2 linked regions of the Lonchura striata genome follow. The protein of the gene in region 2 purifies or fractionates together with the protein of the main gene of each other region. This does not show direct contact. Links are inferred from orthologs where the notes say so. Each region holds a gene or a part of one and is shown on either strand. Other genes may lie near its edges. The genes, in order: LSM6 and LSM1.

Region 1 (15,425 bases), on a different chromosome or scaffold from region 2:
ATGGTTGAGAGGCTCTGGAAAACCAGTTTCATTTAAAATCAAGATTTCTGCAAAGATAATAGAAAACAATATAATTACTTCTTATGCTGCTCTTTTCCTCCTTATTGCAATCCCTTCAAGATCGAACTGCCAAAACACCAAAGGACATAATATCTAAAGTTGATTTTCTGAAATTTTAGTTTGGAGGAAGCAACTGTCTTCAGGAGATACTGTCTCTATATATGTGACAACGTATTTTAATTTCCTGTCTTTAATCAAAGTCACCAGCCTAATGCTAGCACAATGTACTTATTGGACCTTGAGATTTCTTGCCATTTTATGGCCTTTTAATCTTATGTTCTTGTATATGATGTTTAAGAATGGTGCGTCTTGAGAATGACATGATAAAAGCTTTCAGTCAGGAACTGGGAGTACATTTAAGAAATGCACATTTTAAATCAGCCTTTAAAATCACTGGCAAATATTTCCTAGACAAAGTAGTAAATTCTCTGGTCTAATGTAGAATGAAATAGGTTTTTGGTACTGGGTTCCTATCCTTTCTCTCAATGAAATAATCATGTGTCCAGGTTATATGTGGACTATATTGCTGTCAATATCACTTTCAAGTTATTAGGTCCAATCAATGCTGGATAAAAGGAAAAAGGGTGGTCAACAGGCAATCTGGCTTTCAGTTTAACACTCCCTTGAGGATTTTCATTATCCTTTCCTTTTCTGTTCTCAAGGTTAGCTCGAGCTAGACTATTTGTAGCTTCAGCTTCCTGGAGATAATGCACATCCACAATAGCCTTGCTCCTCCAACGTCAGAGTGCCCTTCCACCTGAGTAAGCAGAGTCCTGTCTTTTTTCTATTATTTGTGACATTTTCCTAGGTTAAAAGGTGACTCCTGAAGCAGACAGGTTTCACTTCTTACAGTGATTTCAGTGCAAAATGCACACTTCTACCTTGTTAGAAGTGACATCACTGTACATTAAAGACACCATATCTCCTTTCATATTAAAATGCCTGTCAGTTCTGCTGCTCGAAGGCTGTAAATCTGCCACAGTATCCTGTGCTTGGGAGCTTTCATTATGAAAATATGGAAGATAAGCACTCTGCTTTACTGTCAAAAGGAAGAAGTAGTTTGGTAGTAATGAGGTTACTTTAAAAATAAATACACAATTCCTTAAACATAGGTTACTTGATGTGGGGCAATTTTTGAAAGCAATCTTTTTTATCTGAATTCCTAAAAATATTCAATCTTAAAATATAGGATGAGTAAAGCATGCTTATACAGTCCTGTAGAATATAGTAATGCATAGCTAATCATAGCATTTGTTCATGCAGTAAATCATTAGATTTTTCTTTGACTTCGGCCCTCCAGCTTTGAGAGAAATGACATACTAGAATTTAACCTGTTTTCCATCTTTATATAATACAGATACAAAAAGACTTGTATGTTCTGCAAGACGCAGCTGTTATGCACTTGACTGTAGAAAATACAGTCAGTAGAAAAATACCTCCTAAACAGCAAAGGAAAATATAAATAATTATTGATCATTTTCTCCCATGGCATCATTAAGATCTTAATAATACCTTCCTACTACATAAACTTTTCATCCATTGATCTGAAAGCACTTTAGATATATCATTCTTGCTGTTTTACAGAGGAGAGGGTGAGACACAGAGAGGTGAGATGAGCTGCCTCAACATTTGAGAGTAGCTCAGCAGCAGAAGTGAAAGCAGATCCTCCCTCTCTGGACTAACCTGTCCCACGCTTGACTTGCTCATTTCCAAACTTCAAACTGGAAATTTGCACTGTTTGTTGGTGTAACTCTGAGGTGTTTACACAGCATGTGGTTATTAATTTATTATTCATAATTCAACAATGGGATAAATTATCACAGATATTTCTTTATTATTACAACAAAAAATTAAAAATCACCTTATCCATTTTGTGCAAAAACACAAATTCATTGTTATTTCCCATTTCCACCAGAATTCCTTCCAGCTGAGGAAACTTAAGCATGTGAGCATAGCATGTGTATTTTCACATTTCATCTTTCAAATGATATCCTCCATTGTTGATACTCTGAGGAGCCAAAATGAGCATTTTAAGAGTTATTTATGGGCAATGAAGCCTTTCACCTCCCAAGCATTGATTTTAATGTCCAAACTCTACATCCAGAGACAGGAATTTATATTTAGGCTGTCCAATGTGCATTATATGAAATCAATTGGTAATGTCAATCCCAAGAAGACAAGCGGGCAAAAGCCATGGTGGGGAAAAAAAGCCCAACAAAATAAAAACAGAAAAAGAAAAAAAAAAAGAAAGGAAATTATTTGGATGAGGCAGGTGAATGCATAGGAAAAATGTAGTAGCTGAAGAGGTGACACAGTTGGGACATGATCTGATGAGGTAAGATCAGAGGATTGCACACATCATGGAGGAAACCAAAAACATGTGCCACTCAATGGAGCTGGCAGCAAAATGGAACAAGAACCAAAGAAAAAACATGTGAATGCAGTGTGCTTCTTCACCTTCTACTTTCTCCTGGAAGCAGAGAGGATTTTCTTCCTCTTTGTAGCATGAAGTCCCTGCAGAGAGAGTAATGAGAGCTGTAGTTCTTTAACGATCCAAGTCATAAGGATTTATAACCCGTTTTACAGCAATGTTGCCAACACCTTCCTGGCTTCAAAAGCCTGCAAGGACTGATCAGGCTTCTGTATCATCTGTCTTCTGCTCACAAGGGGCTTTTGAACCTTTGCAGTTCCACTGTCACAAACCCTGTCTATGCTGAGTGCTTTTGTAGAATTCTCCACTGTTTCCAACATCCATGCAGGTCCAGCAGCAGCAGCAAGAGTGAGATTTCTAATGCCAGGTGGTCTGGATGGCTACAGGCACTTTATGCTACTTCCCTCTCAATTTTCCAGGTAGGATCAGGTGAGTGAGAAAAGATGGTTGTTGTTTTTTGCCCTAAAGCTCCTACAATTCCTTGGAGAGATGGAGCTGCACTGATGGCACAGATGGCAGTTTTGCCTGAAAGGTGTGAACCACACTGTGGAACAGTGAGTCAGTTGCCCACATCATTCCCCTCTCTTAGAAGATAGCATTTCTCCAAACCTGCTATTGCAGATCCGGAAGAGTTAGTACCTAACCATCAATATTGTTTTATGTAATTTTTCCAGGAATATACTTTTTCTTGTAAAACCAGACAAGAAAAAAGTATAGAGGAATATTTTCTGGCATGTGTGAACACCGGGGAATCAGATCTGAACAGTGTGTTTGAGGTTATACTACTTCAGAAACTGCAGACCCCGAGGACTGGGTCACAGGCAGTCATACCAGATTGACAGATCTCTATTTATAGATAGAATCGTTACTTTCACTAGTGTATACATTGAATTTATATTACAGTTAAAAAGACAAGAGAGTTGTATAATGTATTCTGTGAAAAAATAACTTTTGACTTAACATGAAACTTTATGCTATTATTATTTTCCTAGCAAAACCATTTATTTCATATAGATACAGCCTTCTAATCTTCCCTTTTGATTTTGTTGTTATATTACAAAAGAATTGCATTCTCTTTCATTCCCTTCACAAAATAATGACTTTTTAGTCAATAGCCAGAAATTTGGGCCTATTGAAAAATACCAGCTCACAAATGCTCTAGGAGTGGCCTAACATTGACATTAAATTGCATTTTATTTTTAAAGTTATTGAGCTCTCCTGTTAGTAAGTGGTGATGATAACATAATCCCCATAATTCTACATGTTTAAGGTGGCTGAACACACTTTAACCTTCCTTTTCCATTGAAAATCAGGACAAGGTATATATCGTTATTACCACACTACACATCTGACTCATGCTTACTTCATATCCCCAAGTCTGCATCAGAAGCATTTCTAGGGAGCTGGGAACCAACTTTGCAAATGTTTTGCACCAGCAGGTGAGTTTAAAGTTACCACTTCAACCCCTTTTTTTGCTTAAACTTGATATCAGAGTTTTCAACCTGAAGTACTGAATCAGCTTCATCAAACTGCATGTGGGGAAGCTTACATTTGAATGTAATCTGGAATTGATACTCCACAAGCAAAATATTTAGAGTGTGTCTTTACCCTGATGTGAATATTCTATAGAGTCTAAGCACAAAAGGCTTTGCTCCAACTCTATCATATTTTAGAAAAAAAATCTAGCTAAGTGGTGCGAAAAGAAATCAAGAAGGGCTTCCAGCCTTTGTTTAATAGAAAACACAAACCTGACATGATCTGTCACAGTATATTTTAACTGGACAGAAACTAGGAAAGACAAATATGTGACAAAAGGTCATCATGTCACTTAAGCCATATAGGAGGAGATGAACATCCCAAGGGGGTGAGCACAGTATAAGAAGTTGAAGATGACAGAATTTTGTTAGGCTCTTCTATCTAAAATCTATAGGTCAAACCCAATACTACTTTGAGTAAGGTTCCATTCAAAAATATATTAACTTTTTAGTTGAGAACATGGAAGGAAATTATTAGTTCTGATGATCCTAGCACATCATGGGAAATAATGCTGGATAACTAAGCCTCTGTTTATGGAGAAAAACATCTTTGAAGTTTTACTGTATAGGCACATACAATCATTCACATGCTGGGAGGCTTGAACTCTCCCATCCAAATGCATCCAAAGGGGAATATCAGACCTCTTAATACTCATTAAAAAGCCGGGCCCTTGGGAAGCAAAGCACTCCCAGGAACTCGGAGGGGGTTAAGTGAACTCTGAAAGCTTCTGAGGCTCTTCCTTTCCTTTTGACGGAACTGAAAGTGTAGGAGACAGAGAGAAAGCCTCTGAGTTCTAACATTGTTCTCCCCAGCTCCCTGGAAGAACTGCTGACAGTTCCTTGTCCACCAGGAAGTTTGCAGAGGAGGAAAGGGAAGAAGGTCCCAATACTTCCTTTCTTTCTCTTGCTTCTTCATGCACCCTTCACTTCCTTAATGTCTTATTCCTCACACTCAGAACATCAGAAGAAGACAGTTCTAAGAAGCATAAATCACAGTGAAAGAACACAGCTCCAGAAGGAAGGTTTTGAGACCTCAGCTGTATTTTCAGTAACTCACAAATGTATCCTAAGTAATGGAGGAGTAATTAGCAAAACTTCTGCTGGCTTTAGTGAGAGCAGAATTTTGCCTTCCACCTCTCAAATCCCAAAAATGTACTGTCATGTTTACTTCAGGGCCCTCAAGAAACCCTGCAATATCAATGCTAATCTTGAATTGCAGAGTTTCTCCATATCAACACTATTTCATGGAGGCTGATACCTCCTTCTACCTCCCGTCAGAGAACAAGAAATGCTCCCCTGGATTTGGAACTTGATCTTGTCTATTACTTTATTACATAACTTAAAAAAAAATTATTTCCTCTTTTTCGAACCTAAGAAGACACTGAAGTTAATTGTTAAAATCATGTGATATGCTGTGATTTGGGCCAGAATGGATTTGTCCTCTCTGACAAAAGTTTCAGGTGAGAACTGTTTAAAGATTGAGGCTTTTATTCATCCACTGGGTGTAGCTGGGGATTGTTAGGTTGAATTCAAAATGGGCTACAGACATTCTTTTGTCATCTGGATTGTTGTTGATCTGCACTTAACTTATATAAACGATGTGCAATTCACAGGAAAAGGCTCCTTCTGACCCATTCTGTGTTCTGTAGCCATCTCACTCTGAAAATGCTTTTATTTCAAGTAGCTGGGAGAGAAAAATCTTCCTAACTTTAAAGTGGGTTTTATTGCTAGGAGAGAGAAGAGAGAGAGCATGAGTGAAAGTGAAATCCCATTTAATTTTTAAAGTTAACGGTAAAGTTTTAATTAGGTCCTCTGAACAAGGATTCTGTGAGGCTTTGTGTTTAAGAGTTAGCAATAGATCCACAGACTTCCATCTTAAAGTTCAGTTGACAAAGGCCAATACAACTCTTTACTTTGTAACTACGTAACCATTTATGTTTGAGGTGAAGATGTTAATATGGAAATTTTGTGAGCTGGGAACGACTAAGAACTCTATCATCGTAATTTATGACCTTTCATCTGAGGCCAAATGTAAAGGCAATTGCAATTGTTCTTTATCTCAAGGCCAGCACATAGCAGATGTGTGAAATTTGGAGTGCTAGACATAAACTTTTATTACCAAATTATAAATAATTTCTATCACTTACAATGTTCACCTTTCAAGTTCATCTTGATTAAAACACAAGGGCAGCATCTCGCTGATTTCCATGAGTTACACAGCTGAAAAAGCTCTACCATGGTACATTAGGAAAGGATAAAGCAATGCAGTATTTAAAACAATCTACTGACATCCAGGTATGCAACATTTTAGATAAAAATACTTTTTCATCTAGAGGACAAACAAACAAAAGATAATCATCAGCCAATGACATCTGAATTTTATTTTCACTTTTGGAGATTTGGAACCTTAAGGATTCCATTTAAGACTAATTTACCTCTAGGAACAGCACATGAGACAGCACTTTGAGACCTCTGGCACACCAAGGAAAATTACCCAAGATTTAGGTTCATGACTTGGTCTCAAACTGTGGAAGAAAGGAGCTAAGGATACAGAACTCACCAGTCTCAATGCCCAGGATTCAAATCTGATGTGTTTGTTTGTGAGGTTCACAGGCTGTGAAGCAGGAAAGTACACTGATTTTGTTGACTGACAGCAGACAATCAAGGTATCCACACAGGTAGAAACTGTAATTAAGTGTAAGCCTCAGCTAGCTAGAAAGCAGCCTATTGAGCAGAAAGCAAAACAGCTCATCAGTTTCTGATGGCTCAAAAAACCCCATAAAAGCTCTGAAGGCAAACTTGTAAGAAATAAAACAAAGAGGAAGGCTTACAAAACAAGGTGTCCCTGGTTGGATTTGCAAAATTGCCATGAAAATTTACCAGCCCAGACATGAAAGCTTTATTTGCCAAATCTTTATACTGGAGATTAATAACAATGAAAACAGAAATATTCCCTTATCAAAGCATTACTCACTGAAGCCAGGAAGCCAAATAAAACTTTGCAAGTCTGCTCCCTGGAGTAACTATTTTATGTTCCTTTTCTGCTTCAAATACTAGATATAATCAAGCACAGTTGGATGCTCCTGATTAACATGACGGTTGCCTGGAAACACAAGCACAGTGTGGCCAAACTTCCCTGTCCCTGCCTGTGCTTGAACTCTGGGACAGGCAGGTGAATAAGGTCAGGTTTGCAGCTCTTGCCTCTTAAAAGCCTTTTAGTCTAAGCATTGGAGAAAAAATTGTTACTGGACACATGTTCAAAAAGAGAAGATAAACAACTCCAGAAAGAAGTGAGAATACAAATCTGTGTTCTGAAAAGCCATGGTACATTTTCTTTGTATCATGAGAATTGAGAGGTTTGACAAGATACTAAATCAATACAGGACAGATAAAAAACCCAACAAAACAAAGCAGTCCAGAAGCTTTCACAGATTATTAACTCTTGTCATAGTATGAAATCGTAAAAAAAAAAAAAAAAAAAAAAAAAAAAAGAAAGAAAAAATAAGTATTTGAAGTATTTTCCAGACATCAGGGGATAGCTGCGAGAAAGGAGGAAAAACAAGTGAGATGATGGGGAGAAGCAGAAGAGTAGAAGGTGAGTTCAGTTTCTTCGTATGCCAAGTTATTCCCAGGTGACTTAAAAAAAAAAACAAAACTTATCTGTGTTCACTGATTCCTCTGTGAAATGACCTTCAGCACTTCCCTGGCTGGTCCTGGACAGATCCCTGTGAGGTGCTCACTATGTCTCTGATAAGGACAAGATCATTTGAGAATTAGCAGGGTCTCATTAGAATAGAATATAATAATGAGTACCGTATTGGGTATCAGGAAGAATTCCTTCATGGAAGGGGTGATTCGACATTGGAATGGGCTGCTCAGGGAGATGGTGGGGTCACCATTCCTGGAGGAGACTGGAAAGCAAAGCCTGGAAGCGGCCCTCAGCTGGGCAGCGCTTGGACTCGCTGGTCTCTGAGGCCTTTCCCAACTTCACTGATCCTGCGGGGCTTTTTCCCACAAGACACCCTGTAAACCTTCCACACTGCAAGATTTCTCTCCGATGGGGTGTTATTTCGCGCGGAATCCCAATCAAGCCATAAAAACCCCTCACCGCCCTGAAGGGGCCGGGACTCCCCCCGCCAGACCGCGGGGTGGGGCCAGACCCCTGAGGGCGCGCCCGGCCCGTCCCGCCTTCGACCCGCGCGGGCCGTCCCGCCCGGCCGCCGTAGCGGGGCGGGGCGGGGCGGGGCGCGGGAAGCGCCGGGAGAGGCGGTGGCGGCGGTGAGTGCGGGCCCGGCCGGGGCCGTGTGTGTGCTCCGGGCTGGCTTGTCACGGGCCGCCTGCGCCCCCGGGCTGGCTTGTCACGGGCCGCCTGCGCCCCCGGGCTGGTTTGTCACGGGCCGCCTGCGCCCCCGGGCTGGCTTGCCGTGGAGCCGCGCTCTCCGGCCGGGCTGGAACGCGAGGGTTCCACCCGGGGGCAGCGGCTCCAGACGCGTGTGCGGTCCGGGAAGGGGGCGCAGCCCTGGGCGCCAGCATCGCTGGCGGCGGTGGGTGTCGGTAGGGAAACTGGATCCCCGGGTTCACGGCTGGATTTGCCCCAGGAAGCAGCGAAATGAAGCCGGCACCGTGCGGGTTTTCTGTCTCTGGCCTTTGGCACTGTTGAAATTTAAAAGCTGCACAGTGTGGCAAACAAAGATTCTTAGTAATGCTTTCAGAAGGAGTAAAAATGCCGAAGGGAAAGTGGAATGCAATGGCTTTAGGAGCTCTGTCTCCCCACCTCAACCTTTAGAGTTTTGCTTTAATCTCTTTCTCTTATGGAAAGTATTACAAATCAGGGGTCTGCTTGTCTGTACAGAGTATTTAAAACAATGTGGAGGCATGTCTCTTATCCTAATGTTTTCACTTCTTAGCTTACCAGAGAAGATCACGATGAGTCTACGGAAGCAAACCCCCAGTGACTTCCTAAAACAAATCATTGGAAGGCCAGTTGTTGTAAAATTAAATTCTGGAGTTGATTATCGAGGTAAGTTCTCTATCTGTCTCTCACAGTGAGTAAAGTAGTTCATTGAGGAGGCTGGAATAGATGCATTGATTTGGAAAAGAAAGGCAGTGTGATCCAGAATCATGGAGTATGAGGATAGATATCTCAGAATGGTGATGGCAAAATAGAAAAACAACTCCGGAGAAAGTGTTAAAAAGAGGGGGTAACAACAGTGGATTTAGAGGTTAAAATTACTGATCTAAGTTATTAGTGTCATTGGTCACAGGTGGGTAAACTGGATGATTTTGAGTTTCTAAGCTGATACTTGGAAAGATTGTCTGGAATTACAACTCCTGAAATGGCCAGGAACACTCCTTGTTGGAACTATGTACTAGGCTTTTCTTCAACTTTTTTTTTCTCTATTTAGTTAATACAGATCTTGATCCAGGAAAACTTCAGAGTAAACCATGCTGTCAGTCACAACAGAATTCTTACATGAGGGATGAAAGCATTATTGACATTCTTGGTTAAACAACTGCCTGGACCTGTGCTGGACCAAGGCTCACAGAGATACAGGAAAAGGTTTAGTGTAGTTTTTGCAAGCTTCATTTTAACACAGCCCATCAGTTTTATTCCTGATTTCTTCAATCTATCAGTATACCTTCATGTATATAGAATTATAGATTTTTTTTTTAACCAGTAAATTAAAACTCTGTGCAATGAAATGTTCTGGTCCTGCTCCCATTAAGATAACGGGATCACTCTGACCAATTTTTTTAGCAGTATCCGAACTCAGTCAGACCTAATCATGTATCTTCTGCTGTGCTCAGTTAAGAAATTTTATTCTGTAATGACTTAAACTTTATGGTTCTGCAAAAGACCCCTTCTTCAGAGAGGTTTACCTCAAGTGGCTTACATTGGCACTTGTGTGAAGAGACTTGTTCGTGCTCTGACGAGGAATCTTTGTGCTAGGACAATATTAAATTGTTACTGTTCATTGACTGAGCAAGCAGTGGCATCTTACTCCTTCCTGTTTCTCTGCGGTGTCAATCAGCTGGCAAAATTTTCAGTCTCTCATTTTTTTGAGAACCACATTGTCTGAGTACTTCAGGTGGGTTTGAGGGCTTAAGAAGTTTGCTGCCTCTCTGTAAATTCTTTAGTGCAGGAGAATGTAGAGAGAGCTCATTAAAGTCAATTAAAGCAAGTCCTCATTTACCTGAGGGTACACAGAAGGCAAGGCCAAACCAGATTTGGGTTTTGCTGCACTTCCTATTTTCATTGAGACCATTGCTACCTCTCCCTTGGTAAGATCCTTTTGTAAATGCTGTAGATTAACGACCCAACTTACCCCTCAGCAAAGCTAGTTTAATGTGCCTACTGTGTGACACCACATCACATTAATTGAATAAGAGTTCCTTGAACACCCTTATTTGTTACTGGATTTTTCCTGTCCTTCCCTTCCTTCTTTCCCTGCACTCCTTTGATCTTGTGACAGAAAATCTGTGTAGTGTTTTCATCTGAAAAATATGCACTTAGTTTGTTTTCTGGAGAAATGTGACCAGCATTTGTAAAAGCCAAATATTTACAAAACAGCATCTCGGGCTGTTGTTGCAGATCTGTCCAGATTCTTCCCCAGACTGTGTTGCTGATGCTTTTGTTGCCTCCACCCTCGGAGGCCCCACACACACACACCTCATGCAAGTGTTGATGTGTAACTGAACTGTCTTCAGCCATTGCCAGGTGCTGCAAATGTCCAAGACAGGAAGCCCTGAGAAGCGATCAGGGGTATATTAATGTATGGTTCTGTGTGTCAATATGGATATGTACATTAAAACATCTCTACATACAGATGAAAGAGATAAATTGCTAGCCAGGATGGGCAGTGATAATATTTGATGCCATTAGTGATGTAAGAGTAAACAAAAAGAAAAGGAGGAAGAGAATGAAACAACCATGAATGCACTCTCGAAGCAAAAGAGTTTGAAAATACTGCATTTATGGCCTACTAAGTTGTATGTAGCTCAGGTAAATCCACATGGTCCAGTTTTAATTTTGTACAAACATATTTTTGCATCCTGTGCTATGTGGATCCCTTAGGATTACTGGAGTGGAAAAGAATCCTGACTTTGGTTTTGGTCTTCTTGCTGCATTTAGTGGCACTTTGTGAGCAGTTTTTCCTGTCTGTGGAAACAGAGGAGAGAAAAACAGAAAGGAAAATAATAACCTTTAAGCCATGACAAGTTGGTAAAGAAGTTGAATTCCTGATTATTAACTAGACGATCCTGCAGTAACACTTCTGAAAAATTAGAATATGTCCTGAGTTTTCTCCCTCTTCTTAAGTACAGCTAATACACTATATTTCATGTCTTACTGCCAGGTAAATAGCTAGGTGTTTTTCAAACAGAGGAAAAAGTTATTTAAGTAAAAAGTTATTTATCCTGTGCAAGGATAAAGACAGAAAAACCCACATGCAAGAGGAAGATGAAACAACTTGTAAAAAGCTGTATTACCTCTGTCCTCCTAAAATGCATATATTCCTGATCCAGAAAATTGTCTAATATTACAAATGACATATTTTTTCCTTTAATTGCATTATCAAAACAGAATAATTTATTTTGAATATTTCAGTGGCCTTTGTTGAAAAATGTGTAGAGTTTTGTTGACATCAAAGCAGACTTGCAGTGTTCTCCTAGCTCTGTAAGCATGAAGACAAATATGTGTCTGCTGTCCTGTATTAAAAGGGTTGTTTTTCAGCTATATCCTTCACAAGTTTTGTTGACAACCAGTTTACATAGCTTTGTCCTTAGGTTATCCTGTTACACTTAATGCCACAGGTGTTTTTTTTTGGTTTGTGCTTAAAACACAAGTGAGAAAGGACAGCTTAAACTTTCAAAATGGAAATTGTCCATCTTTTGAAATAATGCCTTAATAACTTCTTTACTCCCACAACTCTTACACCAACTGATAACTTTGCTACCGGAGATAATGGGATTCCTTTCTCCCAGCTGAATTCTTTGAAGACATCTCTCCATGCTTGGGTTTTTAGTTTGTTATAAGGATACAGGGTAGGCTTTTTTCCTGTACTATTCAAACACAAAGCATTTTTGTTTATCTTAAAATAAGTTCAAGCTGATTCTCTCTTAAACTGCCACTCTTTTCAGGTGTCCTGGCTTGCCTGGATGGATATATGAACATAGCTCTGGAGCAGACTGAGGAATATGTAAATGGACAGTTAAAGAACAAGTACGGGGATGCATTTATCCGAGGAAATAATGGTAATTCCTACTCCTGTTACTGCACGTTAGAAATTGTGTTATGATATTCTGAATTTGAGGGATGGCTGAGGTGTAAGTAAGCTGCCTGTAAGCCTAAACTAATATTCTTTCTTCGAAATCTTTACAATATTTGCATTTTACAGTTTCACTTTCCAGGGTCTCTGCTTTTCTGCATTCCTGTGGTTGTTTTTTCTTCTGAACTTGAAGTTCATTTAGAGCAGCATGCTCTTTTCTAGCTTTCTTGGAGCTTATTTTCTACTCTGTGACTTCCTTACTCTCTTGCACTTACTCCTTGCTTAGATGACCTCTGCACCATAAGAGTTTGTGGTATGTAGGCAAGCTACTGCATAAGTTCATGCTACAATGCAGATATTATAGTGACACAAATATTTTCTGGTGAAGCAGTTTTCCAGGACTGAATGAATGCTTATCCTTAGTCCTGGAGGCTATTTTAATCTTTTGAGTAAAGATTTTACCACCAGTCAAAAAAATCACTCATGTTCTAGTATGGAGCCTTTGGATATCCAAGTGCAGTAGGTGGATTCTAGTGCACTTCAAGAACAATCCCAGGCTCCTGAAATGACTCTCTGGTATCAGGTTGTAATAGCAGGACATGCCAGGAAGGAGAGTATCTAAAAATAGAAAAGGTTCACAAGTTGGAGGTGAAGAGACTTGTAGATGAGGTAAATGAAGCAGAGTTTGACCAAGTTGCTTGTGAAGAAAATGGAGCTCAGCAAGAAGGGATGGAATCAAAAGACACAAGGGCTGAATCCCATGTTAGAAAAAGAGTCAAAGAGAATGTGGTACCAGTGTAAAAGAGCATTTTGGGTGGAAAAATAATCCTCCAGCCCTTGTTTTTGGCAAGGCATTTGGACTATTATGCTAAGAACTGGAGTGACATTTCAGCTAGAGAATCCATTAAGGAAATAATCTGTTATGAAAGTTAAAACAAGTGGATGAGAGGCAGAAGGCTCAAGAACAGGCTGAACAGAGAACTGAAGACATGTGGCAGGTTTAGGAGGACACAATATCATTTTATGTTGTGACTGGATCTGTTTTGGGGATGCCATCAGCCAAGCAGGAGGAAGATGTCTCTTCCTTTATAACTAATCATTCGTTTTGCCTTAAGTGCTTGGGATTTCCAGCTTTTTTTGAAAGATCCCAGCATTAGTGTCTGACATCTGTAATTCTGCTGCTGAGGAACTCTCTCACGCTCTCCTCAGTAACACTGCAGGGCACTGCCTTTGGTCCTGCTCTGTTCAGCCTACATCTGCTGGAGCATAGTTGGGCTATGAATAAAATAAATACTGAACCAAAGTAATACATAATGTTTAGAGCTACTGGCATTTTTTGAAACCTGGAGTTAAAGGTGGCCTGGCTTTGTTCATGCTGAATGGGATCTCTTACAGTGTCAATTTATATGCCATGGAAATAAGATGTTTTAAATAAAAAGGCTTATGCTTGTTATTTACCAGGGCCCTCCTCTGTGTGCCACTTTCTCTTTTTCACAGTGTTGTACATAAGCACCCAGAAGAGGAGGATGTGAAGATGCCAGAAGGAGGCTGTTTTTTTGTACTTGTGAACCTCTTTGAAGTGATGAGCCCTACTTGATTTGTAGTTCAAAATCCACAGGTGAAATACACAAGTGTATAAGTATTTTTTTTAATAAATGTAAACATGAGTGTAAACTGCCTCAATGCTTTTGTTTCAAAGCATTGCTTTGTTCCCTTGTACAGAAAAGGAATAAAAGAGGAGCATGTAATAGTGCTGCAAGACTAATTTGAAGCAACAGCTCATTTAATTATGCTAACAGTTACAAAAATACTGACTGGAAGGTAAGCAGGCATGGAGTAATTGTAAATCAGAGGCCTGTATTGATGGCAAAACAGTGGTTTAACTGATGGTGGGACAGGAAATGCTAATGGTTTGGTGACAGTGACCTGTCCCTTTTGGAAAACATGGGGTCAGCTTTAAATGCCAGGCTAGTAAGAGTCATCAGCTACAAAGTTCAGCTGTCCAAAAAACCTTGAATTGTGGATTGAATCAAGGAATGTAACAGTGACACTTCAACAGTTAGGGGTGGGGAAAGAATTGAATCAAATGGAAGAAAAGCCTTAAGGGTGAAAAGAAAGCTCTGTGCCAGCTGAGGAAGTCAGTCCGAGGTGAAGAGCTCTCAGTTGGTATGTCAGTACAGCCTAGTAGCTACTTCACCTCCTGCCTGTGTACCCCCCACCCTTCCTCTGCTTGGGGTGACCTTTTACTTGTGCTTCTCTACCAAACACAATGGACTTCTTCAGTATAAAGCAATTATAACTAATACCTAAATCTACTTCTGAAAATACACTAGGAATCTGAAAGCTTTTATAAACATGCCACAAGTGTCCTCTCCAGCCAGTTTCTTCTTTCTCCCATCCACTGCCCCCTCAACCTGGTACCATCTCTATATTCCATCTGTCTAGCCAGAAATAAGGAGTGCATTAGAGTATGGGGTGTGCATTAGGGAGGGAGGGGGAACCTCTGAGCTGACAGCAGAGAGGGAACTTGTTTGTGTTTATTTTGCAGCAGTACTCCCAGAGAATCAAAGCACAGTGAATAAAAGCAGCTTAATTTTACATGGATACTTACTTTTCCTTTTACATGCAGTCAGCCAAGAAGAAACCTAAACCAACTCTGAAAATTCAGATACTCCTTTACCTGAGTGATCCTGCACTTAACATCACACACTCAGAATGCTTTCTTCTTCTTCATGATGAAGTTATAAGTTAGGATAATGTACCTCATGGTGAGGTTATTGAGCCAATTTTTTACATGAGCTTTCTGAAGCCTGGCTTTATTCCTTGGACAGTTTATAATGCCTCCAGGAACAAAAATATTTCTAGTTGTGGATGGATTAACACAAGACAACTGTGTGAATATAGCATTGTTCCATTCTTCCCAAGTACCAGTCTGATGCAAGCAGGGAATAGTCACATTCCAATTATCAAAGGGAGAGAATGTGAACTGCAAATTTAAATTTTATGTTTTTTTTAAGATGAATTAATAATTCTAAATTATTTTGCAGTCAGTAGTTAACCTTTCCACATTAAGCACTTCAGAAGACATGACAGAACACACAAATAGAGTTGCTACTGTACAATATACTTCAG
Region 2 (15,331 bases):
CGGGGGGCACGGGTGGGCAGAGCCCCCCGAGCAGCTCCTGCCCTGCCTGGCAGGCCGTCCTTGCAGGGATGGACCTGGGGCTCACAGCATGATCACCACCTGTGACAGGTGACAGACCAGCACAGTGGCACAGTCATTGAGGCTGGAAAAGTCCTCCAAGGTCACTGAGTCCAAATGTGATGGGTAACAATGGATAATAAGGGATCACTTTGGATGACACCCTCTCACAGCACAACTATTGCGGAATAACAAGCCAGGCTGAGCCTCTGCACACGCTGTGCACAAGAACCAGGACAGCCCATAAAACACAACATGAAATACATCGAGCTGCTGAGCCTGGGACTGAAGTGAGGGGCAGCCCCAGGCAGCCCCCTACTCCCTGGGCCCCGTTATCTGCCCCAGCAGTGGGACACAGCAGAGCAGCGATAATGCTCAAGGCTGAAATGACATTTCTGGGATGAATTACGGCTTGGAGACCAGCACTCCCAGGAACCTGTGAATTACAGCTGCTTCCTTTGACGTCAGCCCCTGCACCCTCCTGCAGGGAGCCTGACCTTGCTCCCCCATTTCAACAGCTTGGCCCGGGGGGGGTCACCCCCTCACTGTGCCAGCAGCCCGGCCCCAGGGAGCCCTTTGTCTCCCCCAGCCTGTCCCCAGCTTTCCTGAGATGATTTGAGTCCCACCTGCCCTCCAGAAGGGTCCTGCTGCCCCACGGGATGTTCCTCTGTATTGTCAGGGCTGCCATCCTCCACTGTGTGCCAGAAAATACCTCAGGCTCAGGTCAGCAGTGTGGGGTTAGAGGGAGGTGCTGGAGGCATCAGGAGGAGGCAGAAACTGCACCATCCCTTTCCAAAACCTTTACTGGGAATTCCTCTTTGCAGCCATGCTCCCACAGGTGTGATTCCCGGGTGATGCCACAGCTCTCCCCACCTCTGGGCTTCACCCACCTGCTCCCATCTCCCTGCACATGGGGAGAGGGAGACCCAGGAGGGTTTGGAACCCCTGAGTCTCAGCCAGGAGTGTCCAGCCCAGAGCTCTGGCCAAGCACACGCAGAGCAGTGACAGGTCTGGGTGTTTGGGGCCACCAGAGACACCCCAGTGCTGTGCACTGCCCCAGCCCTCCCAGTCCCACCCCAGTGCTGTGCACTGCCCCAGCCCTCGCAGTCCCAGTCCCACCCCAGCTCTCCCAGTCCCATCCCAGTGCAGTCCCCTGCCCCAGGAGCAGGCACACACAGCCCCGGGGAGCCCCAGGCTCTGAGTGATCCAGGGCTGTTTTCCCGGATGGAGCCGCCGCTCCCGGCCTCGGCACAAGGCCACGCAGTTGTTTGTGAGAAGAACCAAAACAAACCGTGCAGAGCCGCCCCTCTGGCTCCGGGCTGGAGGGGCACGACCCCAGCTGTGCCCTCAGGAGGGGACACGGGCACAGCCACACCGTGCTGGTGAGGAAATGCTGCAGGTGGCCACACCCCAAAGCAGGACACAGACCCCAAAAAGCACTCAGAACCCTCAGGGGGATCTGGTTAACTGGGACACCCCAGCCCCCACAGCCCCCTGAGGCACCCCCAGGCTCCTGCACAAAGTCACCACACAGCTCCACTTGCATTCACCTAATAGGGCTTGAAGTACAAACGTTCACAAATGTACAAAACCACAATGATGCCAACCAAAGGCACCGGAGCCGCACCAGGGCCTGGAGGCTGAGGGACCCAAGAGCCCTGAGGGTGCCCTGACCCCCCACCCTGCCCAGCCCAGCCCCCTCCGAGCGCATTCCCCTCTCCCAGCCCGTTCCCACAGCAGGGCTGCAGCAGAGGTGGCTGTCGGGGTGACCCTGTCCCTCCTGCAGCAGCCCGGCCAGGGTGTCCCCCCATCCCAAGGCTGCCTGTGGTGCTATTTGGAGAGCAGAGACAAACCACAGCCCCTGGTGCCACAGAGGTCGACCCGACGCCCTGATAAGATAATGGGCTCAAGAGCAGCAAAGTGAGCCCATGTCCTGACCCCCACCAGCTCCCCACACCCCCAAAGCCCTGGGCTGCAGGGCTGGGACCCCACCACCGGGGCTGGGCAGCCCTTGCCTCCCCCCAGGCATCGCTGCCCTGATCCCCCCTCACCCCAAAACACTGCCAAACAAACAGGGACAGCAAAAACACCCCCAAAGAGCCATCCCCACCTGCCAGAGACTTTCCAGCCACAGGCGCCAGCTCCATAAATGCCTTTTATTAAATTCTGTTAGAACAAGAAATAGCATTTCTTTGTTTAAACTTTTGCTATCCACAACACCCACTCAAGCCCAACGGGGCAGAAATGTTTCCCACCAAAGCAAGTGGTCCCTGGGCCAGTGAGAGGGGGCCAGCAGTGGCCACAACAGCTGTCAGCTCTCCAGGGCAGCTGTGCTCAGCCCCAGCAAGCAGAGCTGTTTGTTCTCTGCCCCCCAGCAGGAACTCTTCACCCAAAGAACTCCCACTGCCCGAGGTTCCACAGGGACTGTGCCTGCCGAGGTTTGCCCTTCCCTGCCCACACCCAGGAGGCTCCTGGGGCCTGGCAGCTGCCCAAAGCCAGCCCCGAGGCCAAGGACTCTCCTCCCCAGGGAGGGCCGGGACACACGGGGCAAAGGACTCTCCAGCCTGGTACAGCTGCAGCAGCTCCCCCAGCAGCGAGGCCAGGAGGGGCTGGAGCTCCAGGCTCTGCCGTGTCCCAGGTGCAGCAGCTCTTCACCAGCAGGTAATTAGTGCTTTCAGCTGGTAATTAGCAGGCTCAGCTGCAGGGGAGTGGCACAGCCTAGCTGGGGGGTACGAGTGGTCTGTGTTGGGGTACGGGGGTACCCAGGTTCTGCTCCCCAGCCCAGAGCAGGATCTTGCCTTGGGCTCCAGTGTTCTCTCAGAGTGAGCCCAGCCCATGGCTGGACCAGGGGGCCTGTCTGTCCCTGCACAGCACACAGAGGGGACAAGAGCTAGCCTGAGGAGTGCTCATCCTGAGAGAGGGGGAACTGCCAGGACCAGAATACCGGAAAGCCATCAATGTCAGGTTCAAGGATTTATTTACATGTCAAGGAAAACTCTCACCCAAAGTCACGTGAGGAGGAAAAAGCAAACAAAGCCAAGGAGCAGTGATTTGCCTCCCAAACACAAATGCTTGCACTCCCAGTGCACTGGGCCCTCCTCATCTCCTTCTCCAGAAGGAGACTAAGGGCATGATTTGTGTGCAGTTACCAGCACCACAGAAAATACAATCTGAAAATGAAACCTGCCTTTCCAAGGCAGTCTGTCCCTGCCCAGGCAGGTCCTGGAGCAGCCCTCGCTCCTTGCAGGAAAGGGCAGCACCTCAGTACTCATCCAGCGTGTCGGCCCGCGGCACCGAGAGGCCCCTCTCCTTCAGCGCCTGCACCTTCAGCTTCTCCGACTCCTGCTTGGCCTGCTGTTCCACCCGCTGCTCCTCCAGGATCTCCTCGATGGACACCTGCTGCAGAGGCGTGTCGCTCTCCTTCTCCAGGTCCTGCAGGAGAAACGAGCCCTCAGCTCTGACAGCGTCCCTGGACCGCAGGGCACCTGTGCCCCCGCGGCAGCCAGCGGTGGGGCTGACAGAGAACAGAGGTGCTGGAAGCGCCCTGAGGGCTGGGGATGTGGGCAGGGATCCCCAGCACAGCCCTGGCAAGGGGCTCCTGGGCACCCCAAAGCAAACAGCGCTCGGCTCCTCCTGAGCCCATCCCAGGTGGTGTCTGCAGGGAGGTAACAGGCAGCCAGCATGACAGCCTCCAGCAGTGCCACACAAGCTGGAGCTTCCCCACAGCTCCCTCTGCGTTGTTCTTCGTTCTGGTGTCATCCCAGAGGGGCTGCGGCAGCAGGAGGCTGCCCTGCCATGCAGGCTGGCATTTCTGTGCTGGCTCAGCCTAAACTGGCCCTGGAGGTGGCTCCGATTCCAGCCCACAACAGCAACCGCATTTCAGAGCTGACAGACAGACAGGCAGACCACAACCCCCCAGCCCGGGCCCAGACTGCAGCGGGAGCCGAGCACTTACAATTTCCCCCAGCAGCACCACATTCTCGCCCCTCACCACGAAGATGCCCCGGGGGATGTCCCCATACTTCTTGCCCACGTGGATGCGCTCTACAGTCTGGTGCAACACCAAGTTTGCTGCAGCAACGAGACAGAGAGAAAAACACCGACGTTCCACGGCGAACTGTGGCCGAGCAGTGTCCCCCGTCCCACCGGAGCAGCACCGGCGCTGGCTCTCCCCTGGCGCTCGGTGCCTGCCCGGAGCCGGGTCACCGAAGCTACCGACACTGTCCCCACCCCGCGGCTCCGAGCCCACCCGGGCCCCCGCAGCACAGAAGATGATGGCGATGGTGGTGCTGCAAGCTCGGGGTGCTGGCCGGAGGATGAACATCACCCGGAGGACGAACATAACATCACCCGGCTGCTTCTCCCCAGAAAGCGACGCCAGAGCGCCAGCACTGGATGCAAGGGCGGGACGGGGAGCTCCCAGGTGTGGGAGAAGGGGTCCAGGGGACAGAGGGGGGGGTTCAACCCCCAGCACAAGCCCACTGGCAAGCAGCGCTCCCTCCTCCTCCTCGCCATCCCCGGCGCTGCCGCGGCCCGGCCGTACCGAACTGGTCGATGCTGCGCAGGTACCCGATGAGCGTCCGCCCGTCCCGCAGCAGCACCAGGTGCTTCTCTGCGGGAAAGGAGAGCGGCGGGTCGGCCACGGCCCCACGGCTCCGGGACCCGCTACGGGGAGAGGGGTCCGGGCGCCGCACGGGGAACCGCGGGCAGGACCCGGGGGCAGGGCAGGCACCGGCGGGCCACGGAGGGGACGGGGCGGGGCGCCCCGGGACACTCACTGTCGATGTCCTGGATCAGGCTGGCCGTGCCGGGCATGTAGTTCATGGTGCCGCCGCGCCCGCAGCGGAAGCGCCGCCATGCGCCGCCGCCGCCGCCGCCCCGGAACCGCCCGCGCGGGCGGGGCCCACCCGCCGCTGCCCTTTTAAGCCGCGCCAGCCGTGCGCGCGGGGCCGCCGCCGATTGGCCGGCGAGGGCGGGGAGCGGCCGCCGATTGGGCGCGGGGCGCGCGGGGGCGTGGCCTTGGCGGCGACCATGGAGCCCCGCACGGCCGGGCCGGGCCCGCCCGCGGCGGCCGCGCAGGTAACGGGGGCGAGGGGCGGGCACGGCCCCGGGAGGGCTCGGCCCCGGGAGGGCACGGCCACCGGGGAGGGCTCGGCCCCGGGAGGGCACGGCCACCGGGGAGGGCACGGCCCCGGGAGGGCACGGCCCCGGGAGGGCACGGCCACCGGGAGGGCACGGCCCCGGGAGGGCTCGGCCACCGGGAGGGCTCGGCCCCGGGAGGGCTCGGCCCCGGGATCGGCACAATTCCCGGGGCGGGCGGCAGCGCTCGGCCCGGCCCTGCCCCGATAACGGGCGCGCAGGGCGGGCCCCGGGAGCCTCCCCCGCCCCGCCGGTTTCTCGCGGAGCCCTCCGGGCGTGTGACGGGGCGGAGAGCAGCGCGGGGAGGCGCTGCCGGCGGAGCCGCCTCACGGGCGCCTGTGCCGTGCGGGGATCCCGGGAACGCGGGGCCCGGAGCGCTTTGCGGAGCGGGAGGGCCCCGGTCACGGGGCTGGGCATTCCCGGATCCGTACCTGCGGCGTTTATGGCAGCTGCGTTTCGGGCTGCCGTGCAAATTCCGTGTGGCGAGAAGGGCTTTGCCCGGCCGGGGCAGGCTCTGCCCTCCAGCCGTGCTTTGGTCTGGTTTGGTTTGGTTTGGTTTTTCTCCAGCCCTTCCATAAATCCCGGCACACAGGCTGCACAGCCTGCGCTCTGGAAGCAGCTCAGGGGCAGAACACTGCTTTGCCCGAAGGTACAGGGAGTCATTCCCCGAGCTCCTGAAAGCCTGTGCTTCACATCCCCTCTGCTGTCAGGTGGAAACTCGAGTTCCCTACACAACATGGGATGGATCCCGGTAAACCCTCGGATGTCCTTGGGTGTGCAGACCTTCCGTACAGAGATGCACATGAGCTGCAGCTCTAGGAGCTCCAGGAGCTGAACACTGGCTGGCAGAGCTCGTCTGTTTGAGAATCAGCAGGGAAATGAACTTTTCTGGAGAGTTTTCCATCCTCCCGTCAGTGATGCAGTACTGGCATAGAATCCTCCAGGAGCTGCTCACTGTGAGGGGCTGCACGCCTCCCCCTGAGCCCAGCTCGGCTGAGCAAGACCTGGTTAAGCTTAGTGCTAGACCTGGTACAGCCAGGTTAGACCAGGAAAGCCTAAAACTGGGGCAGATCACTTGAGGGCAAAGGAACCCCCTGGTTCAATGCAGGAAGGGCCAGACCTTGTTCCTGGAGCACCTCTGCCTGTGTCCATGTCCCGTCACCTTCCCTGTGCTCTTCCCTTGTCCCCAGGCCATGGATTCTCCCTATGCCAACGGAGCCTACAGCCCCCCGTACCCGCACTACGCCAGCCTGCCGCAGGCACGGGGCTTCTACTGCTCGGGGCCCGCGCGCAGCCCCTACCCCCCGGAGCCCGCGGGCCTCTACCGGCCCCCGTCGCCCGCTCCCGCCTGGAGCTACGGCCCCCCGGAGTGTCCCCCCGAGGGCTCGGCCCTCCGCAGGCAGCAGGCCCCCAGCTACTCCCCGCCACAGGTAAGGGCACTGCCAGCGCGGCACGAGTGGTGCCCGGGACGTGTCGTGGGGCTGTGCAGGGGGAAAAGGCTCTGGTGGGCTGGGGGTGCCCGTGGCTCTGGAGTGTCTTGTCCTGCCTGCTTTAATCTTACCAAAACTGGTGGTCACCCTGTTCTTTGGAAACCCTCAGCTTTTGGGCTGGGAAAGTGGGAATTGGGCAGCCAACCTGAGCTGCAGCCGTTCCATCCAGCTCCCAGGGCTGTGTGAGGGAACAGGGCTGGCAGTGATCCCCTGTAATGCCTGTCCAGGTCTGTGTGAGGGGACAGGGCTGGCAATGATCTCCCTGCAATGCCTGTCCCAGCTCCCAGGGCTGTGTGAGGGGACAGGGCTGGCAGTGACCCCCCCCTGCAATGCCCGTCCCAGCTCCCAGGGCAGGCAGTGACCCCCCTGCAATGCCTGTCCAGGTCTGTGTGAGGGGACAGGGCTGGCAGTGACCCCCTGCAATGCCCGTCCCAGCTCCCAGGGCTGTGTGAGGGGACAGGGCTGGCAGTGACCCCCTGTAATGCCTGTCCCAGCTCCCAGGGCTGGCAATGACCCCCTGCAATGCCTGTCCCAGCTCCCAGGGCTGGCAGTGACCCCCCTGCAATGCCCGTCCCAGCTCCCAGGGCTGTGTGAGGGGGCAGGGCTGGCAGTGACCCCTCTGTAACGCCTGTTTCCCTGTCTGTGCAGACCCCAGGAATGCCAGTGCCGCAGTATCCATACGGGGACAGCAGCACAGGGCTCACGGGGCAGGGCCTGGTGCCACAGCCCAGAGCCCTGGAGGACACGTGGGGCCCCCACTCTGGCTATGGGGCGCAGCCTCGCTACGCCTGGCCCGCCTCGGGGCACGGCAGCCTCTACGTCTCGGATTCACACCCATCCTGGACCAGCAGCGGGGCTGCTTCCCACCCTCCCACCTGGGAGTCACAGGGACAGGTGAGGTCCTGTGTGCATGCAGAAGACTTAAATCCCTGGCTGCAATTCCATAAAGTACTGGAAGGACAAGATGTCCTGGGGTGGGTCTTGAAATGGGTCTGACAGGCCAGGTTGGATCAGGGATTAAGTGACTCCATGTTTTTGGTGCCTGGCAGTAGCAGCCCTGTTGGGGGGTTCAGGGCTCAGACTGCTCTGGGCAGGTGCCCCTTGCTGGGCTTTCTCTTTCTGACATGGGAGCAGAGCACAGGTCCCTGTCCCCAGCGTCCCCAGCCCTGTCTGCTGTTTGGCGCAGGATGAGAGCGGAAACCTCCGGGTTGAAGGGAAATGCACTTAGAGATGTTTTCTCCCTCTGTCTGCAGGACTCTGTCTACAGACCTGAGCAAAGCCCCAGCCAGCACAGTTACTATTCTGATGGCAACCAGCGGCTCTCGGGGCCAGTGAACGAGCACAGGGCGGCCAAGCCTGCCCCGTGCCAGCCCCGGGTGCAGTACAGTGCCCAGCCCCAGCTCTATGACCTCGCTGCTCGCAAGCCCATGGCCAGGAGCCAGGAGCTGGGCTTCAAACCTGCTGACCAGCCTGCCACGAGTCCTGCAGCCATGCAGCCGGAGATTCAGAGGATCCTCCACGTGATGGGGGAGGCTGAACAGCTGGAGGAAGAGGTGGACGAATTTGTAGGGAAAAAGACAGATAAATCCTACCGACTGCTGGAGGAGATGTTGACCAAGCTGCTGCTGGAGCTGGATTCCGTTGAGACTGGGGGCCAGGACAGTGTCCGGCAGGCCAGGAAAGAGTCCGTCCACAGAATTCAGGCCATACTGGAAAAACTGGAAAGAAAGGGATTGTGAAAGCACAAGAACCACAACACACAGCCTGTGGTTGAGGTTCCAAAGAGTTCTCTTAAATCTCAGCTCTTTCTGCTACGCACTATTGACAATGGAATAGCAATAAGCCCGGAGTTAACAAATCAAATCAAACCCACCAAAAAGCCAGCCCAGAAGCCCAGCCCCAGCAAACAACTCAGCAAAGGACAGAGAAGAGGTTTGAAGCAGCAAAAGTATTTAATGAGGATGCTGAGGAGAACTGGGCCAAGGATGGGGCCCTGTGGGGTTGTGTACAGAGTTCCCCAGGCCGGGCCCAATCTCTGGGTGCCTCCTACAGCCACAGCCAGTCTTCAAACACTGCTCAGATGTGCTGCAATGTGCAGCCACCAACCAAGACTCTGGGCTTGTCCTCACTGCCTGTAATTTCAGCTTCAGCTCCCTTGCCATAAACCTCATGTGTCCCCATAGGGGTTGTTAGGGTTTGGTGCACTCAAGGAGCAGCACTGAAGTGCTGGAGGGAGGGACTCTGCTGGCACATGTCACGTTGTGCTGTTCCTCCTGTGTGGTGCAGGGCCAGTGTGGGGTGTCCCTGTGGGCATGGGAACAGACTGGAAATCCCAGTTCTGCCACTGGAAAGGAGAAGTGCAAGTCAAGGAAAGAACCAGGGTGCTTGGAAGTGATTTCCAGGTCACTTGGGTCAGAATCCTGTTTCATGTCCCTCTCCATCCTGCGAGTTCTGTGTCCCACTGTGCAGCACCATGGGAAGGGAACAGCTGTCTGTTCCAGCCTCCTGGTTTCCACCTGCACAGCAGCTCAGTGCTATGTGTGACACCTGAGTTTGAAATGTATTTTGTAATTGAGATGTCTCAAAGTCTCTTTTTCTTTGAAGAGAAGTGGTGGGAAGGTTTTGTGACTCCAGGCTGTCTGGAGTGGTGCTGAGGTCAGGGGTGAATGGGATATCTGAGAAGGCTGTTCTGGGGTGCCAGGGTGCCCCATTGCCTCCCAGGCAGTGTAGATGCTCCAGGAGCCTCCAGCTGTGGCTCTAAGGCTGGTGTGGAAGAGGGTCTGGAAGGGATTTAGGATGCCTGGGGCTGGGAAGTGCCCTGGCCATGCTCTGTGTGCTGCCAGTCAGCCGGAGGCAGCTGGCAGATCCCACATTCCCAGACAGGGCTGCGGGCACAGGATGACCTTTGGAGCTCACTGGCTGTGTCCATGACCACGTGTGGTCAGCCTGCACAGCCAGCCACGTCTGGAGCGAGCTGGGAGCCAGCTGGATGTCGTGGGACAGGGAAGGGCTCAGCTGCTGCTGCATTTTGTGTCGGGCAGGGAGCAGCCAGGCTGAGCTGTTCTGTGCTTCCAGCCTGGCCAGTGCCTCCTGGGGCCCATGGCTGTACTGGGAGGTCAGTAACTCACAGCACTCAGAGCGTGCTGCCCTGCCACTGTGCTGGTGAGCCTCCATGAGTGCCCCCCCTTCCCCCATCAGCTGAACCCATCCAGGTAGGATATTCCTCAACAATATTGCTTGTCCCTGCCTCCTTGGTAGAGGGTTACGTAAATCCCCAGAGAAAAGCCCATGAGAGAACATGAAGAAGTGGGCTGAAATGGCAGGTTATCATTGCAGGGCGTGGGGATCCCACAGCGCCATGGCACGGCGTGGCTGCCTGGGACACTCCAGTATCCCTGGCTGGGTTTCATGTGTTTCCCCCAAAACTGGGCTGTGATCAGGGATCAGGCACACATCCCACACCTCAGCCTGCAGGAAACTCTGCTGTAACCCATCCCTACCTGCTGCCTCCTCCACACAGGACCAGTGTGTCACAGCTGGGCCGGATGATCCGAGTGGAGACGGTCTGACACGGGCAGGAGCTGTGTCAGCACCCGCTGCTGCAGGCTCTGCATGGGCCCCAGCTGCAGAACTGGGGAACTGAGCACTCCCAACCCTCCTGTCTTCCTCATCAATCCCTGCTGTGCCACGGTGAGCACTGCGATAGCAGCTCCTGGCAACTGGTTTATCTTGCAGCATCCACTTGCAGCATCCACCCACATCACAACCCCCAAATTAAAAAGTCTGTCTCTATCACTGGGCTCATCTCTACAGAAACCAGACTCTTACTCTGGGGTTGCCCGTTGCTTCTCCAGCAGTGCTGGAGTTTCTCAATCACCACAGAGGCTAAAGTGTCACAGAGGGACTGAAAAACAAACATTAAATCAGCACCGCGTGGTTTCTGCTGCAATCACCCCATGCTGGAGTGTTTGTTCCTGCCGCAGCTGGCACGGGGGTGGGTATTTCCCCTCACCCCAGTGCCCCGCAGCCAGCTCTGGGCCAGCATCACCCCCACCCGGGCCACTGCCGAGGGCAGGGAACGGGGGCAGGGAACGGGCAGGAACACGGACAGGGGTCACAGGGAGGGAGCAGGGGCAGGGAACGGGCAGGAACATGGACAGGGATAAGGGGCAGGGAACAGGAGTCACAGGGAGGGAGCAGGGGCAGGGAACGGGCAGGGAACAGGGACAGGGAACAGGGGTCACAGGGAGGGAGCAGGGGCAGGGAATGGACAGGAACATGGACAGGGATAAGGGACAGGGAACAGGAGTCACAGGGAGGGAGCAGGGGCAGGGAACATGGACAGGGAACAGGGGCAGGGAACAGGGGTCACAGAGAGGGAGCAGGGGCAGGGAACACGGGCAGGAACACGCACAGGGAGCAGGGGCGGGGAACATGGACAAGGGACAGGGTCAGGAACACGGGCAGGGGTCATAGGCAGGGAGCAGGGGCAGGGAATGAGCCCGAACACGGACAGGGAACAGGGTTCACAGGCAGGGATGACAGGCAAAGGTCCCGGGCAGGGATCAGTGGCAGGGATAACAGGCAGGGATGACAGGCAAAGGTCCCGGGCAGAGATCGCGGGCAAGGAACAGGGGCAGGGATCAGTGGCAGGGATAACAGGCAGGGATGACAGGCAAAGGTCCCGGGCAGGGATCAGTGGCAGGGATAACAGGCAGGGATGACAGGCAAAGGTCCCGGGCAGGGATCGCGGCAGCAATCGCTGGGCTGCGGGGAGGGGTTGAGGGCAGAGGCTGCGGGCGGGGATCAGGGGCAGGGTTGCGGAGCTCCCGCGGGCACTGCGGGCAATGCCCGCTCCGCCCCGGCCGTGACGGCGGGGGCGGGCCGCGGGCAGCACCGCCCCGGGCTGGGCGGTCGCGGGGCCGGAGCGGAGCCTGCGCTGCCAGCCGGGCCGCAGCGGCGGCCGCCGGGCAGCGGGGCCGGGGCCGCTCGGGCCGCTCGCGGCGCAGGGCGCGGAGCCGCCGGTGCGGCGGAGCGGGCGCGGCCCGCGGCAGCCCCATGGCGGCGCAGGAGCCGCCGCGGCCGCCCCCGGCCGGCGCCGAGCCCGCGGAGCCGGAGCCCGGCGGGCGGTACGAGGCCGTGGCGCCGCACTGGTTCTACCGGCGGGTGCCCGAGGCGCGGGAGCGCTGGCTGCCGTTCAGCGCGCAGGACTCGCAGCGGCTGGAGGAGGCGCACGGCGCAGGTAGGGCGGCACCGGCCGGGCCCCGGCACCGCCGCTGTCCTGCCTTCCCGTCCCGCGGCCCCGCTCCCGAGCCACCCCGGGCAGTGGGCCTGCTCGGCTTGGCGGGGGAGCTTCAGCTGTGTGCTTGGATACCAGGGAAAAAGTCCCTGGACACGCACATGGCTTCCACCTGGGATGCTAGGTTTTCCCTGGAGGAGTTTTAATTTGGGACTTTTTTTGGCCATGTGCCTGCTCCCAATAACTGAGCTGTTCGGATGCATCAAATGGTCTGACCCCATTCAACTGATAGTGCTCTAAATTATATATAATCATACTGCAAAGCATCCTCTGGTGAGGCGGGGAGAACGCTGCCAGGATGGCAGGAATTCCAGTGGGAGAATCCCCACAGCACAGAGCTGTGCCTGCTATGAGAGCAAGGATTGGAGGTCAGCTCCAAGCCCTGTGCTGAGGCCCTTGTGTGCCAAATGTCACCATCTGTGCCACCTGCTGCTGCCACAGGCAGAGCTCCGATTGCCCAAGGATCGGCTGCCATCCTCCCTCGCCCAGGAATTTTCAGATTAGAGGCTGTGCTGCCCATCCCCGGTGCTGCTGCCCGGCCCAGCCTGGCACGGGGTGCTGTGCCACCAGCCCAGCCCACAGGCAGCGAAATTCACAGTTTGAGGTCTGTATTGGGGTCTGTAGAGAGTTCTCTGTTTCGGAGAGGAACACCTGAAAGACAGGAGACCCTGGTGCACCCCCACTGTTACACAATGCACTTAACAGGGCCTCAGTTTCGCTTTTACCCTCCTGGCCAGGCAGGGAGAGGCCACGTAAGCATGTGCCTGAGCTGGAGAGAAGGACAGGTGTAGTGTAAAGTTTTCATCTTCTGCCTCTGGGGGAAGCCTGACGTGGGGTGTCTCACCCGACAGCGCTCTCTGAACTCGGGTACAGAGGACGTTGGCATCTGCTGCCACGGTGGCTCTGAGCTGCCCGGCCGTGGTGCTGCAGCCTCCGGGAACTTGGCATTCCAGGCCTGCCAGGATTGACTGCAGGCCCTGTTCCCACAGGGAAGGACCAGGATGGCGTGGTGGTCCCCACCTCGGGGGGCAGGTACGACGTGCACCTGCGGGCGCGGCAGCGCGTGGCCGTGTACTGGGAGGAGGAGGCGGCCGAAGTGCGGCGCTGCACCTGGTTCTACAAGGGGGACAAGGACAACAAGTTCATTCCCTACTCGGAGTCCTTCAGTGAGGAACTGGAGGTAAGCACACCTTTCTGTTGGTTTCCATCTCAGCTTCTCCTCGTCACACACTGCCTGTGATGTCCCAAACCCCGTACAAGGCCACAGGCAGGCCTGAGGACGTGAACTCCAAAGAGGCTTTGGCACGGCATTCCTGCAGCTGATTGATGTAACTGTGAGCTCTGCCGTGGCCTCCCCTTCCCCTGCCCTCGTCCGGCCTCGGTGCATCCTTCCACCACACCTGAAAGTGCCAGGCTTTCCTTTGGGATGACGCAAATGTAGAGATGTATAGGCAGACGTATAAAAATACCCATCTTTGCCATATCTCTATTCTGATGTACCAAAACCAGTTCTAAGGGGATGGGGAAGTCTGATGCTGCTGCTGGCAAAGCGGGGAGCTCTTAAACACTCTCAGCAGGTGATCCTGGGATGACCCTGCTGCTCCTCCAGCTGATTTCTCTGCTTCTTTTGCGGAGTACTGATAAGAGAGTCTGAAAATTGGGTGGGGAATGTCCCAAGAGGTTGAACATTGATGGGCACACTTCCAGCTGACTCACAGTGGGTGTTCTCTTCTGTAGGAAGCCTACATGATTGCCGTGACCCTGGGTGAGTGGAAGAAGAAGCTGGAGTCCCCCAACAGAGAAGTCATTATCCTGCACAACCCAAAGGTGAGCAGGGCTGGGTGGTCTCTGTGGTGACCAGTCAGGACCCTTGGGTTTCTTTGTGCTGCTCCCTTCAAATGGGTTTGTCCCAGAGCCATTCCACTCACCTGCCTGCGCCAGAGGAGAGGGCAGTGTCAGCTGAGCCTGCCAACGGCTTCACATTTCTTTCCAGCACCTCTGTGGACAAAGGGCAGGGCCCAGCACAGTCTGATACCACGCCGTGTCACTCGGCAGCTGCTGTGGCTGTCCTGCTCCTGGGTCACTGACAGGCTCTTCTTGTTCCCAAGCTGATGGTTCAGTACTCTGCTGTGGCTGTCCTGCTCCTGGGTCACTGACAGGCTCTTCTTGTTCCCAAGCTGATGGTTCAGTACTCTGCTGTGGCTGTCCTGCTCCCGGGTCACTGACAGGCTCTTCTTGTTCCCAAGCTGATGGTTCAGTACTCTGCTGTGGCTGTCCTGCTCCCAGGTCACTGACAGGCTCTTCTTGTTCCCAAGCTGATGGTTCACTACCATCCCGTTGCCAGCTCTGACGACTGGGTCTCCACCCCCACGGAACAAGGCCGGCCCCGGACGGTGAAGAGAGGAGTGGACAACATCGCTGTGGAGATCCCCAGTGGTGAGCCTGCTTCTCCCCTCACCCATCCAAAACCCTGCAGAGCTTTCCAGCCTGATCACTCACAAGGAAGCTCCCGTGATCCTTTAAGTGAAATGCACCTCAAAACATTTTGTGCCAAAAGGATCCAAATGGTTTCAGAAACCTCCCCAGCCCCAGCGAGCTGCAGAGCCAGGGGAGGGTGGTGAGCTTCCAGCTCCTGTGCAGAGACAGAGCTCCGGGGGCTCTGTGCTGCCTGAAATGACCCCTGAGGTCTCGATTTGTACAGGAGGGGAGTTTCTTTCCCTGCTGGGAACACAGTGGTTGGTCACTTACCTTTGTGCTGGTGACTCTCTGGGGCACATGCTGTCCCCATCTCTGCAGCCAAGTGTCAGCTCTGTCCCTCCCAGCTGCCCTGAGCTCCCAGTCAGGCCTCAGGACCTGTCCCCATGAGGACATCAGGCAGTTGCTCCATTTTCCAAGGGTGCCCTCAGGAAGGCACATATGCAATCTGAGGTGTGTGGGAAGTAGAGAACAAGCCCTGACTCCACCTGGGGCCTGCCTGGGAGATGCAGCTCCATGGGGTTCATCAGAGTGGGCTGGGCAGGGGGCAGCTGCTCTGGGACCTCCCAATCCTGCACCTCCCTGTGAACACGCCACCACCCCTTCCTCTGCTGTCCTGTTGGTCCAGATCCATCCCAGGGCAGCTGAACTGAACAGAACTAAGAAATGTGAGAAATCCCAGCAGCCTTGAGGTGTAAATCAGGCACTAAGGAGGCTTTTCATGGGCTGAGGTGAGGGTGGGAGGCTCCTGCCCTGCACAGGGGTGCCTCCAGCAGCTCTGGTCCCTGCTGGGCGCTGTCTCCTCAGCAGCCTGCCTCCCCTCCTCAGGAGAGCCGCTGCAGATCGACCACCTGGTGTTCGTGGTGCACGG

Evidence for each region.
Region 1: the proteins of LSM1 (region 2) and LSM6 purify together in Homo sapiens (co-immunoprecipitation; 3 studies listed by BioGRID and IntAct, counting the BioPlex papers as one, with this or other methods). This does not show direct contact. The link is inferred for Lonchura striata from reciprocal best matches to the Homo sapiens genes LSM1 and LSM6.

Annotation. Positions count from the first base shown.
Region 1 is NC_134606.1:62,307,194-62,322,618, forward strand, and holds LSM6 (U6 snRNA-associated Sm-like protein LSm6), read left to right. Parts: upstream 1-8,268; 5' UTR 8,269-8,304; intron 8,305-8,933; 5' UTR 8,934-8,952; coding exon 8,953-9,046; intron 9,047-12,165; coding exon 12,166-12,279; intron 12,280-13,790; coding exon 13,791-13,825; 3' UTR 13,826-13,967; downstream 13,968-15,425. UniProt on the Homo sapiens protein: Plays a role in pre-mRNA splicing as component of the U4/U6-U5 tri-snRNP complex that is involved in spliceosome assembly, and as component of the precatalytic spliceosome (spliceosome B complex).
Region 2 is NC_134634.1:4,382,335-4,397,665, forward strand, and holds LSM1 (U6 snRNA-associated Sm-like protein LSm1), read right to left. Parts: upstream 4,949-15,331; 5' UTR 4,882-4,948; coding exon 4,836-4,881; intron 4,670-4,835; coding exon 4,601-4,669; intron 4,129-4,600; coding exon 4,013-4,128; intron 3,490-4,012; coding exon 3,319-3,489; 3' UTR 2,200-3,318; downstream 1-2,199. Other genes in the region: BAG4 (BAG family molecular chaperone regulator 4), read left to right, coding at 5,089-5,136, 6,387-6,626, 7,335-7,580, 7,940-8,425; triacylglycerol hydrolase DDHD2, read left to right, coding at 11,745-11,928, 12,975-13,165, 13,723-13,812, 14,301-14,421, 15,289-15,331. UniProt on the Homo sapiens protein: Plays a role in the degradation of histone mRNAs, the only eukaryotic mRNAs that are not polyadenylated. Probably also part of an LSm subunits-containing complex involved in the general process of mRNA degradation.